Linked DNA regions of Saccharomyces cerevisiae S288C. The gene in region 2 interacts genetically with the main gene of each other region. Each region holds a gene or a part of one and is shown on either strand. Other genes may lie near its edges.

Region 1 (3,831 bases), on a different chromosome or scaffold from region 2:
GTCATTGTTTCTGCTGCTGCTGTCGCCGCTGCACTGTCCGCCTCTGCATTATTAATGGATCTTTCTAATTCTAACCTTGCCCTGTCACGGTCCTTAACCAACTCGGCCATTTGCAAATCCTTTTGCTTCAATTTGTGTTCTAACTGTTCCTTTTTCTGAATGGATTCCTGCGCACTATTCACCTTTAACTGCAGTTTTTTAAAACGAGGTAAAAGATTTAGATGCTCTTGACGCAACTGGGAGTATAGCTTGGCTAAAGACTCATATTTTCTTTCCCAAACATCCAATTGATCCTGCAATGCAGTTAGTTGCTCGTCCTTATTAGCCAATTGTTTGGAAGCTGTAGAATCCATCGTTGTGATTTCACTTTCCAGCTGCTGCACTCTTTGGTCATATTGCTGCAATAAAGCCTGGTCCTTTTCATATTGATTGGTGAGGGCAATTAAATCGTTTTGATGTTGGTTTTGTTGTTGAAGCTGCATATTCATCATATCCTGTTGTGCTTTTTGTAACTGCTGTTGAAACAGTTCCTGCTGTGCCTGCTGTTGTTGCAACTGTTGCACACGCTCTTGCTCGAGACGGTTTTGCTCGTTCGCAAACTGGGCTTGTTGATTGGCCCAGAAGTCCGGCTGCATTTGTGCCGTCGCCTGTGGAAAAATGGCGTTAGCTGCACCAGTGGCAGTGGGGATCATCATCCCAGTGGTGGCACCCGTCGGCATAGTTTGCAAGTAACCCGTAGGCGTCGAAGTAGTCCTTTGAGATACCGGACGTGGGGAAATAGCCGGCTCAGCAACAACAGGTGGTGTTGGTGTTGGAGTCCGTGCCGGCGTCCGCGCTGGAGTTACAGAGGGCTCTCTTTTTTTGAACTTAATCTCTTTTGACTCGTCCACATCGTTGATTAAAAATACGTCTGGAGCGTCCACGGGTAGTTTTGGAATGGTTACTAACGTGGTCAAGTACTTCACAGAAGAGCAGTCCGCGTAAAACTCAAACAGCCTTGCATGTTGCAACTCGTACCGTTCTTTCAAGGGCTGCAGAGCAGCGTCACCCTCCGCATCATTCAATTGCCTGTGCATAGCTCTCAGCATCGAGGTGATGAATTTATAAATACCATATGACTCCGCAATCAACGGGATCAGCGCCGAAATTTTGCACTCAGTATTTCTCCTCTCGGACTGAATCGACGCAAAGATGATCTGCGAGAACTCGTCAAGAGAATCCTGTAACGACATCAAATCTAAGATCGTCTCGTACCCTTCGTCCGGGTCGGAAACTGAAACCAGTGACACATACTCCTCGTACTCAAACGTCCCGTTGTTAAACCCTCTATGGTGCGCATGAAAGTCCAGCTTCAAAACCAGGTACCGCACATACTCCCGAATCAGTTTGCTGTACGACGAACCGCCAGAATGTACCCTACCCAGAGATCTGATCCAGTCCCTATCCCGGATGGCCTCAGCTAGCGCTGACGGATGTCCCTCTTGTATGATCTTATGCAGTACAATAAGCATCTTGAACAGTTGCACTTCGTCATTGGCCAGAGGCAGCGTCTTAAGGGTTGTAAAAACAGCTTTGGAAGACTGATGGTCCCATGTGTACACTATGCATGCGCGTACGTGCTTTCTCTTAGGTGCGGTCTCCTCAACGGAACACGCCTTTTTAAGCGCTTTCTGCAGATCTGAATCTATTCTGGACATCCTGTTCTAGCTGCTAGTACTATCACTACTACTGCTATGGCTGTATTACTAATATTTCTATTGTTTCACTATTCTTTATATATATTTATATATGTATATTTTCCAGCAAAACACCCTTTTTGGCATTCTCCTATAGGACGTCAAACGGCGCGCGACCGCGTCATTTTATACGAGCAGCCGCTGCGTCGTCGTACAAAACGCACCGACCTACATTACAATAAAAAGTACCCGTAAAAGGATCATGTGTACATGGTTCCAGTCTTTTGGTTCGGTACTATAACTACTGTAAACGACCCTCTCACTGCAGTTTATGATATGTGATCGCGTTAAAAATGGGTATTATCACCAATAACGGGTCGGGTAACAGATTTTTTCGATGCGCCGGCAAAAAATTTTAGTTTTTTTTTTTTTCATCACAGGGATAAAAGCAAACTGCAAAAGGACAAAACAAGAGAAGAGCTACTTGTTGTTTTCGTTTCGTGCTGGGGGTTTTCTCCTTTCTATTCTTTTTCAAAAAAGACAAGGAATATATTAATATAGCTGAAGCAAATCGTATGTCCATTGAGAATCTGAAATCATTTGATCCTTTCGCCGACACAGGAGACGACGAAACCGCCACTTCAAACTATATTCATATTCGTATCCAACAGAGAAATGGTAGAAAAACTTTAACTACGGTGCAAGGTGTCCCAGAGGAATATGATTTAAAGAGAATTCTTAAGGTCCTAAAGAAGGACTTTGCATGTAATGGTAACATTGTCAAGGATCCAGAAATGGGGGAGATTATTCAGTTGCAGGGTGACCAAAGAGCAAAGGTTTGCGAATTTATGATCTCCCAACTGGGATTGCAAAAGAAGAACATTAAAATTCATGGGTTTTAAGTTCAAGGCTTACGCCGAGTCGCTTACTCGCTGCTCGCTTTCTTTCTTAGTGTTGTTATCCTATATAAAACGTAACTGTTTAGTTATTTAAGTCCAAGTGCATATTTACACTATAATATATAATATAACATCTCATCTTTTTTTATTTCTTTTTCTTCTTCTCCCGCCGCGGGCTTACATACAGAGATATAAGAACAAGTGGTACGTAGCATGCAGCTTCTCAAAAGAGATGAGCGTTCAGTTTTGAGTACAGGGAAGAAAGGCCAAATCGAGAGTACATTATCATGGGGTCGGGCGATTTGAATCTGTTGAAATCATGGAATCCCAAGCTTATGAAAAATAGAAAAAAAGTATGGGAGACCGAACAGGATCTAATTACCGAACAGCAGAAGCTTAACACGCGATTGAAAGAAATTGAAAAAGAACGAGAACTAAATGAACTGCTGAACGAATCGAGCAAGGATAAGCCGGAGACTCTCAAGAATGACTTGGCTTTGAAGAAGTCGGGCTTGGAATGGATGTATCAGGATGCAAAACTGAGTGACGAAAAGGAAGACTATTTATTAGGTAAGAAAAAACTAGATTCATCTATACTAAACCAACCTGCAACACCGCCTGTAAGGGCGGCCACTACTATTTCCGCTTCTGGTGCCGCAACATCCATAAGTTCGCAGAAGAAGAAGTCAAAATTGCTTAAAGATGATCCAATGAGTAAGTTTAAGGTAACTAAACAACAAAGAAGAACTCCAGACTCAACAAAAAAAAGAGCAATGTCGCAACGAGGGAAACCGTTGTCCAAGCCCGCTCCGGACCTAGACTACTAAACTTTCCTTTTCTTAGAGCTTGGTTCCTCGTCGGATAGTGGCAAGTCCACCTCACCGAGACTGCCATCGTCATCCTCGCTGTCGCCATCTGCGCTTAACCCGGATTCTCCTTCTTCGTCTTCCAAGTCCCTCTGGGCCTCAGCATAGTACTTCACACAAAAAGGGTAGATCTCTTCACTGAACAATGACGCCAATGAGTCGCCGTGCGGGAACTCCTTCCCGGGTTTTAGGCCGGTCCATCTGAACCAGCCAAATATGGTTTTCATTCCCTGTCTGTACTTTTTTTTACCCTCTGGACTGCGTTTGTCTTTGATCAAGTCCGGGTTTATCGAGTCGTAACTCTGGGGCCACTCAATTGGAACGGGCTCACTAGTCAGTATCCCGTCTTCTTGGTCATCTTTGCCTTTTTTGATTTGGAACACCTTGGTG
Region 2 (3,831 bases):
TCATGCATTTCTTAATCTTAACGTTCCATTGTAGCTTAAAACTGGTCTCTAACAAATCTATACATAGACTAGAAGTAAATCCGAAATAGTGAGCATAAGGAAAGCACCATGTACCATACACTTCTGGTAAACACCTGATGCGATTCTAAAACAGCATTATGGTTGTAGTAAGTATCAGATCTGTATGCGATGCAGGAGTGCAATAAGTTTGTTTCAGTGTTGTTTTATGTTCGAGGTTTTGACAACGCCGTACGGGCACACCGTCTGTTGAAAAATAATACTGTAGAGGAGTCATATAAACGCTTGAAACAAAGAAGGACAAGGCAAAATAATTTGTTCATTTTACTGAAAGGGAAGGCTCGTGAAAGTATCTATACAAAAGCTTTAACGTCTCTGTAAGTATTTTTTTACGTAAGAATAATATAATAGCATGACGCTGACGTGTGATTCTAGTTGCCCAAAGACACATAATTGCTGGGGAAGAGACCTTTTGAGCCGTCTTTCTCTAGTTCCCCTAGCCACCAGTCATCGTCGACAAATTCAATATTGATAATCTTGTCATTTTCCACAAAGGTCAGTTCGTTATCTTCTGCAGCATCGTAATCATATTCTGCTGTGGCCCAAGGATTTTCCTTTGGCTTTTTCTCTGGAGTTGCTCGTCTTGGAGGCGGAGGAGGAGCTGCAGAGCTTCTTGATGGCAGCTGTGGAGCGGCTTCCTCAGCTTCTTCTTCAATTTCTTCTTCAGGTGCTTGTTCAGGTGCTTCTTCTTGTTTTGGAGCTGGGATCGAGTTTCTAGAAGGTAAGCTTGGGGCGATCTCTTCTTGTTCAGGCTCTTCTTTTTGCACTGGTGCTCCTGACGCAACATTCCTCGAAGGCAAAGGAGGTTGAGCAGCCTCGTCTTCATCATCATCCCAGTCATCATCATTCTCTTCTGGTTCTTCCTCATTATCCGCTTCAATGTGCATACCGGGTAATGGGTTGCCGATCTTCTTGTAATCAGTCTTAGGCTGCTCGGCTTCTTCAGCTTTCACAGGTTCTTGTGGCTTGGAGAAGGGTTTTGGTGAGATAATAGTTGGTTCTGATTTCTTTGGAGGAGGAGCAAATTTGTTTTCCATTTCTTCCTCCTCTTTTTCTGAAGCGGCCAATCCTTCAAATTTTGATTTCAAATCTTTGACGTCAGGTTCACCTTCAGGCTCATCTTCTGGAACTTCAGGTTTTGGTGCCTCAGCCTTAGTTTCGGCGTTGCCGCTGTTTTGCTTTGCCTTTCTTTCGGCCCATAATTGAGCAGGTGATTTCTCGTTTCTAAAACCCTTAATGACTTTATCATCATCATTCTTTAATGAAGATTCCGTCATGGAGGGGGGTTTAGTGGTGCCCAAAAAGGAGTTAAACTCGGAGTCCCTCTTTAATTTTGATTCGTTCTTTAAATTAGCGATATCAGAACTAGGATCAATCTTGGAACCAGCAGCGGTTGGCTTTTGAACAAGACGTGGGTCCTCCTTAGCCTTTTCTTCAGCAATCACTTTTTGCAAGTCGATTTTGCCAATTGGTTTGTAAGATGATTGATTTGGTTTCAGGGGAGCCTGATCGAAGTCGCGTTCCTTTAATTCAGGCTCATTCCAATCGTCGTCGTCATTGTTGTCGTTAACACGGGAAGAAATCTTAGCAGCAGGTGCTGGGGAAGGAGTCTTGACTGGTTCCTTCTTAGAAACTGGAGCAGGGCTCTTGGAAGGTGTGAAGGATTTCTTCACGGGAGGAGTGGAAGCCTTCCCCTGTTGCTTGGAGGAAGTCTGAATAGAATAACGGGCACCGGCCGCGTTACTGATTTTCATCAACAGTTCATTTTCGTCAAGATCGTCCTCGTCTCTGGCGGTAACTTGAACGTGGTAACCCTTGAACAGATTATTAGCAACTGCAGCAAAATTGGCGGCGAAAGAGGCCCTTGTCTTCAATGGCGCAGAATCAGGACACCAACCAATGATAATAATCTTCTCAACGTCTGACCCTGGTGGGGACACACGTGCCAGTCCGTACTGGACCTTGGTTTCATCAAACAATTGCAAGAAATCGTGAAAGGAGGAACCGGTAGACTCAGGTTCGTATTCTTTTTTCGCATTGGGTGAAATAATCAACCAGGTGGTGTCAGGATCGGAGCCTCTGACAATCTTCAGGTACTCTGCGTCGATCTCTCTCGAGTGAGTAGTATAATCAATAGGTTCCAAAGCCATTGTGATTGATAGGTGTGTGCGTGTATATACGTGCGGTTATGCGATTGTTTGTTTATAGATTGAACTATCCAATATGGTATACTCCTATTATATCCTTTTTTTCTACTTTAATCGAGGTTTTCCGCATTGTGAAAAAACAAGTGGAAATAAGAGACACAAGGCCACGTGACGCACATTTATACAGAAATACATCAATGGTTGCATAGTAAAGCGAAAACAAGAGTTCCTCGAGGGCGTATGATGCTTGAAAACGATTAAAATCCTATGGAAAAGGAATGCCTTTTCCCTCCATTGCTGACGGGATATTGTGAACTATTGACTGTCTCATTTAACTTCCTAAAATAAGTGCTCTCATGGACAGAGATATCAAAGTAACGTCTAAATATTAGCTTTGTGACTACTACATTGATGCAGATGAGTGGACTAGCAGCATCTCATAATAAATAAATCAAAAATAAAGGTTCATTCTCTTTTGGTTGCTTTTTGCCTTGACGGGAAAAAGTGAAAAAAAATTGAAAATTTTTAACTTGCGATGAGCTCTAAGAGTATTCTGTATACAACAGCAAACGGTCTCAGTCAAGAAATATTTGTTATTACAGGATGGTTACGTTCAACTGTGAGGTGTGTAATGATACTGTGCCCAAGAAGAATACCGAAAAGCATTATTATAGATGTCCTAACGCGTACTATACATGCATAGATTGCTCCAAGACGTTTGAAGATGGCGTGAGTTACAAGAATCACACGTCTTGCATCAGCGAGGACGAGAAGTACCAGAAAGCGTTGTACAAGGGCAACAAGAAGCAGAAGCAGAAGCAGCAGCAGAAGCAGCAGCAGAAGCAGCACCAGCACCAGCCAGTGGCAACTCCTGCAAAGAAAGTGGAGAAGCCTGTGATCAAGAAGGCAGAGAAAGTGGAAAAGACCTCGAACGGTATCGAGCTTCACAAGGGCAAGTCGTTGTACAAAATTTTGAAAACCATGAAGGATAAAGGGGCAAAAAAGACCTTCTTGAAAAGTCTGGTTGTGGATTCTGAGGGGCAAATCAGGTATGCAAAGGAATAATCGGAATTTTATGTGTAGATATATAGACATTATGTAGCAGCTTACTCGGTTTCATCTTTTTTCTCTCTTTTCTTATTCAGGCTTTTAGCGATTTTGTTATAGAATTGGTTTAGCGACGAGAGGGGGAAACTCAACGTTTCGAAGAGGTATTCCGGTAGTTTCGACTGTAGCGAGTATAGTTCCTCGGTGGATCGCTGTTTAAGAACGGGCGCATATATGACTTCTGTGACTTGGGCCTGGCCCTTGACAAATCCGAGTTTATAGTCCATTATCGAATAATCATCGGAAGATCCCCCTGAGTGGGTGCCCTGCGAGATGTCGAACCACAACCCAGAATCATCCTCGTAGCTTTTATGTACACGTACGTTACAGAGGTACTCGTAAAGGTCCTTTATGACTTCTGAATTTTCTGCCTGTTGGGAAGTCTGAGTCTTCAGCTCCTTGACTTGTGCGTTTAGCGAGTCTATCTGCTTCTGCAGCTGTTTGATCTCGGTTGCTTTTGTATCCAGCTTCTCCGACAGTACGAAATTCTCATTTACCA
Region 3 (3,600 bases), on a different chromosome or scaffold from region 2:
GGAGAGACAAAACACATTATATCAATGAAAACGTACAAAAAGTAGATAAAGTCAGTGCTTAAACACGTCTTTTCCTTAAAAATACTTTATTATTTTTATTTTATTGAGAGGGTGGTTTAAAAATAGAAATAGAGAGAGAGGTACATACATAAACATACGCGCACAAAAGCAGAGATTAGAAACACTTGTGGTGAACGATAGATGGACCACTTTCGTCGTATTCTTGTTTTGAGATCCACATTTGTTGGAAGGTAGTCAAAGAAGCCAAGATAGAACCACCAATCCAGACGGAGTACTTTCTTTCTGGAGGAGCAATGATCTTGACCTTCATGGAAGATGGAGCCAAAGCGGTGATTTCCTTTTGCATTCTTTCGGCAATACCTGGGAACATGGTGGTACCACCGGACATAACGATGTTACCGTATAATTCCTTACGGACATCGACATCACACTTCATGATGGAGTTGTAAGTAGTTTGGTCAATACCGGCAGATTCCAAACCCAAAACAGAAGGATGGAACAAAGCTTCTGGGGCTCTGAATCTTTCGTTACCAATAGTGATGACTTGACCATCTGGAAGTTCGTAGGATTTTTCAATTGAAGAAGATTGAGCAGCGGTTTGCATTTCTTGTTCGAAGTCCAAGGCGACGTAACATAGTTTTTCCTTGATGTCACGGACAATTTCTCTTTCAGCAGTGGTGGAGAAAGAGTAACCACGTTCACTCAAGATCTTCATCAAGTAGTCAGTCAAATCTCTACCGGCCAAATCGATTCTCAAAATGGCGTGAGGTAGAGAGAAACCAGCGTAAATTGGAACGACGTGAGTAACACCATCACCGGAATCCAAAACAATACCAGTAGTTCTACCGGAAGAGTACAAGGACAAAACGGCTTGGATGGAAACGTAGAAGGCTGGAACGTTGAAAGTTTCAAACATAATTTGAGTCATCTTTTCTCTGTTTGATTTAGGGTTCATTGGAGCTTCAGTCAAAAGAACAGGGTGTTCTTCTGGGGCAACTCTCAATTCGTTGTAGAAGGTATGATGCCAGATCTTTTCCATATCGTCCCAGTTGGTGACAATACCGTGTTCAATTGGGTAACGTAAAGTCAAGATACCTCTCTTGGATTGAGCTTCATCACCAACGTAGGAGTCTTTTTGACCCATACCGACCATGATACCTTGGTGTCTTGGTCTACCGACGATAGATGGGAAGACAGCACGAGGAGCGTCGTCACCGGCAAAACCGGCTTTACACATACCAGAACCGTTATCAATAACCAAAGCAGCAACCTCTAAACATATAATATAGCAACAAAAAGAATGAAGCAATCGATGTTAGTACATGAGACTTAGTAACAGTAGCAAATAAAAGAAGAATATCACTATCACTTATCACGAAAATATTTCAGTTTTTTTTTTTTTTCCAAATTTCAAGCCCCTATTTATTCCAATAATATCGTGGTTATTACAGATCAGTCAATATAGGAGGTTATGGGAGAGTGAAAAATAGTAAAAAAAGGTAAAAGAGAAATCTCTCGAGCAATTGGGACCGTGCAATTCTTCTTACAGTTAAATGGGATGGTGCAAGCGCTAGAACATACCAGAATCCATTGTTAATTCAGTAAATTTTCGATCTTGGGAAGAAAAAAGCAGTAAGCGTGAAAAATCTAAAAGCTGATGTAGTAGAAGATCCTATTCTTTAACAAAGATTGACCTTTTCTTTTTCTTCTTGGTTTGAGTAGAAAGGGGAAGGAAGAATACAAGAGAGAGGAAAAAAAGGAAGATAAAAAGAGAGCGTGATATAAATGAATATATATTAAACAAGAGAGATTGGGAAGGAAAGGATCAAACAAACCCAAAAATATTTCAAAAAGGAGAGAGAGAGGCGAGTTTGGTTTCAAAACGGTTTATTTATTTATGCAAGAGGACGTGGAAGAAAAAGAAGAAGGAAGAAAAAAATTTGAAAGAAAAAAACGCGTGGCGGGTAAAGAAGAAAATGGAAAATAGAGGCCGGGTGACAGAGAAATATTGAGGGTTAATTGGAAAATATGTTAGGGTGAGGCATATGTTTTTAAGGGTTTTGAGGATCCGATAAGGAAGAATGTAGGTTAAATGTTGTGCATTAATTGCTGTGGCAGCTTACCCGCTTCCCCACACATTTTGGTAGTATCTGTCCTCTTGTTATTGTTACTGTAATTGTGTATATATGTTCTCGCGTGTGTCTTATTTACTTATTTAGTTATTATATTATATGGGTCTGCAAGGTAGAGGCGCGCTTGTTCAACAGCAGCCCCCACCGGTGTTGGTTAAACTCTGTCCCTTCAGGTTGACGTTCCCTTTGTCTTCCTTCTTCTGAGTGGTTTCGTTCAGGTTTTGTTGGGACATACTTTCCTTGATTTGTCTAGCCATGGTTAAAAACGCATCCTCGACGTTGGTGGAGTCCAAAGCACTAGTCTCTAAGAACGGCATCTTATTCGCGTCCGCAAATTCCTTTGCCACGTCATATTCCACGACACGCTTGTCCTTTAAATCACACTTGTTACCTACCAATAGCTTCAACACTGTTGAGGTTGCATACCGATCAATCTCTTGCAGCCACATCTTCACGCCGTTGAAGGATTCTTGGTCAGTGACATCATACACGATAATGATCCCATGCGAACCACGGTAGTAAGATGAAGTGATAGTACGGAAACGTTCTTGACCTGCAGTGTCCCAAATCTGTAGCTTTACAGTCTTGCCGTCCAGTTCTACAGTCTTAATCTTGAAGTCCACTCCAATTGTGGAGATGTAGTCGTTGGTATATGTGTCGTCCGAAAACCTCAAAAGTAAACAGGACTTCCCGACACCGGAATTCCCGATCAACAGCAGTTTGAACAGGTAATCGTACTCGCTATTCATATTAGTGCTTTTCTTGTTTTATTTATTTCAACCTGGGCCTAACAGTAAAGATATCCTCCTCAAAACTGGTGCACTTAATCGCTGAATTTGTTCTGGCTTCTCTTCTTTTTCTTTATTCCCCCCATGGGCCAAAAAAAATAGTACTATCAGGAATTTGGCGCCGGGTCACGATATACGTGTACAGTGACCTAGGCGACGCCACAAGGAAAAAGGAAAAAAACAGAAAAAACAACAAAAACTAAAACAAACACGAAAACTTTAATAGATCTAAGTGAAGTAGTGGTGAGGCAATTGGAGTGACATAGCAGCTACTACAACTACAAAAGCAAAATCTCCACAAAGTAATATAATGAGAGAAATCATTCATATCTCGACAGGTCAGTGTGGTAACCAAATTGGTGCTGCATTCTGGGAAACTATCTGTGGTGAGCACGGTTTGGATTTCAATGGGACATATCACGGCCATGACGATATCCAGAAGGAGAGACTGAACGTGTACTTCAACGAGGCATCTTCTGGGAAGTGGGTTCCAAGATCTATTAACGTCGATCTAGAACCTGGGACGATTGACGCAGTACGCAATTCTGCCATCGGGAATTTGTTTAGACCTGACAATTATATCTTTGGGCAAAGTTCTGCGGGCAACGTGTGGGCCAAGGGTCACTACACAGAAGGTGCTGAGCTTGTAGACAGCGTCA

The links.
Region 1: mutations in ABP1 (region 2) and SLA2 are lethal when combined (synthetic lethality), as found in Saccharomyces cerevisiae (4 studies listed by BioGRID, with this or other methods).
Region 3: mutations in ABP1 (region 2) and ACT1 together harm fitness more than expected from each alone (negative genetic interaction), as found in Saccharomyces cerevisiae (3 studies listed by BioGRID, with this or other methods).

Annotation. Positions count from the first base shown.
Region 1 is NC_001146.8:185,917-189,747, reverse strand, and holds the start of SLA2 (Sla2p), read right to left. Parts: upstream 1,698-3,831; coding exon 1-1,697. Other genes in the region: SUI1 (translation initiation factor eIF1), read left to right, coding at 2,252-2,578; U2-type spliceosomal complex subunit CWC25, read left to right, coding at 2,863-3,402; VPS75 (Vps75p), read right to left, coding at 3,399-3,831. UniProt on the Saccharomyces cerevisiae protein: Required for cellular morphogenesis and polarization of the cortical cytoskeleton. It might act in concert with proteins such as CDC42 and CDC43 to limit the region of cortical patch formation to the cortex of the bud.
Region 2 is NC_001135.5:263,465-267,295, reverse strand, and holds ABP1 (Abp1p), read right to left. Parts: upstream 2,229-3,831; coding exon 450-2,228; downstream 1-449. Other genes in the region: YCR087C-A (uncharacterized protein), read left to right, coding at 2,829-3,290; CSM1 (Csm1p), read right to left, coding at 3,332-3,831. UniProt on the Saccharomyces cerevisiae protein: Regulates ARP2/3 complex-mediated actin assembly. Recruits ARP2/3 complex to sides of preexisting actin filaments, which may promote nucleation or stabilization of filament branches. Binds to actin filaments, but not actin monomers.
Region 3 is NC_001138.5:53,085-56,684, forward strand, and holds ACT1 (actin), read right to left. Parts: upstream 1,613-3,600; coding exon 1,603-1,612; intron 1,294-1,602; coding exon 176-1,293; downstream 1-175. Other genes in the region: Rab family GTPase YPT1, read right to left, coding at 2,282-2,902; TUB2 (beta-tubulin), read left to right, coding at 3,252-3,600. UniProt on the Saccharomyces cerevisiae protein: Actins are highly conserved proteins that are involved in various types of cell motility and are ubiquitously expressed in all eukaryotic cells.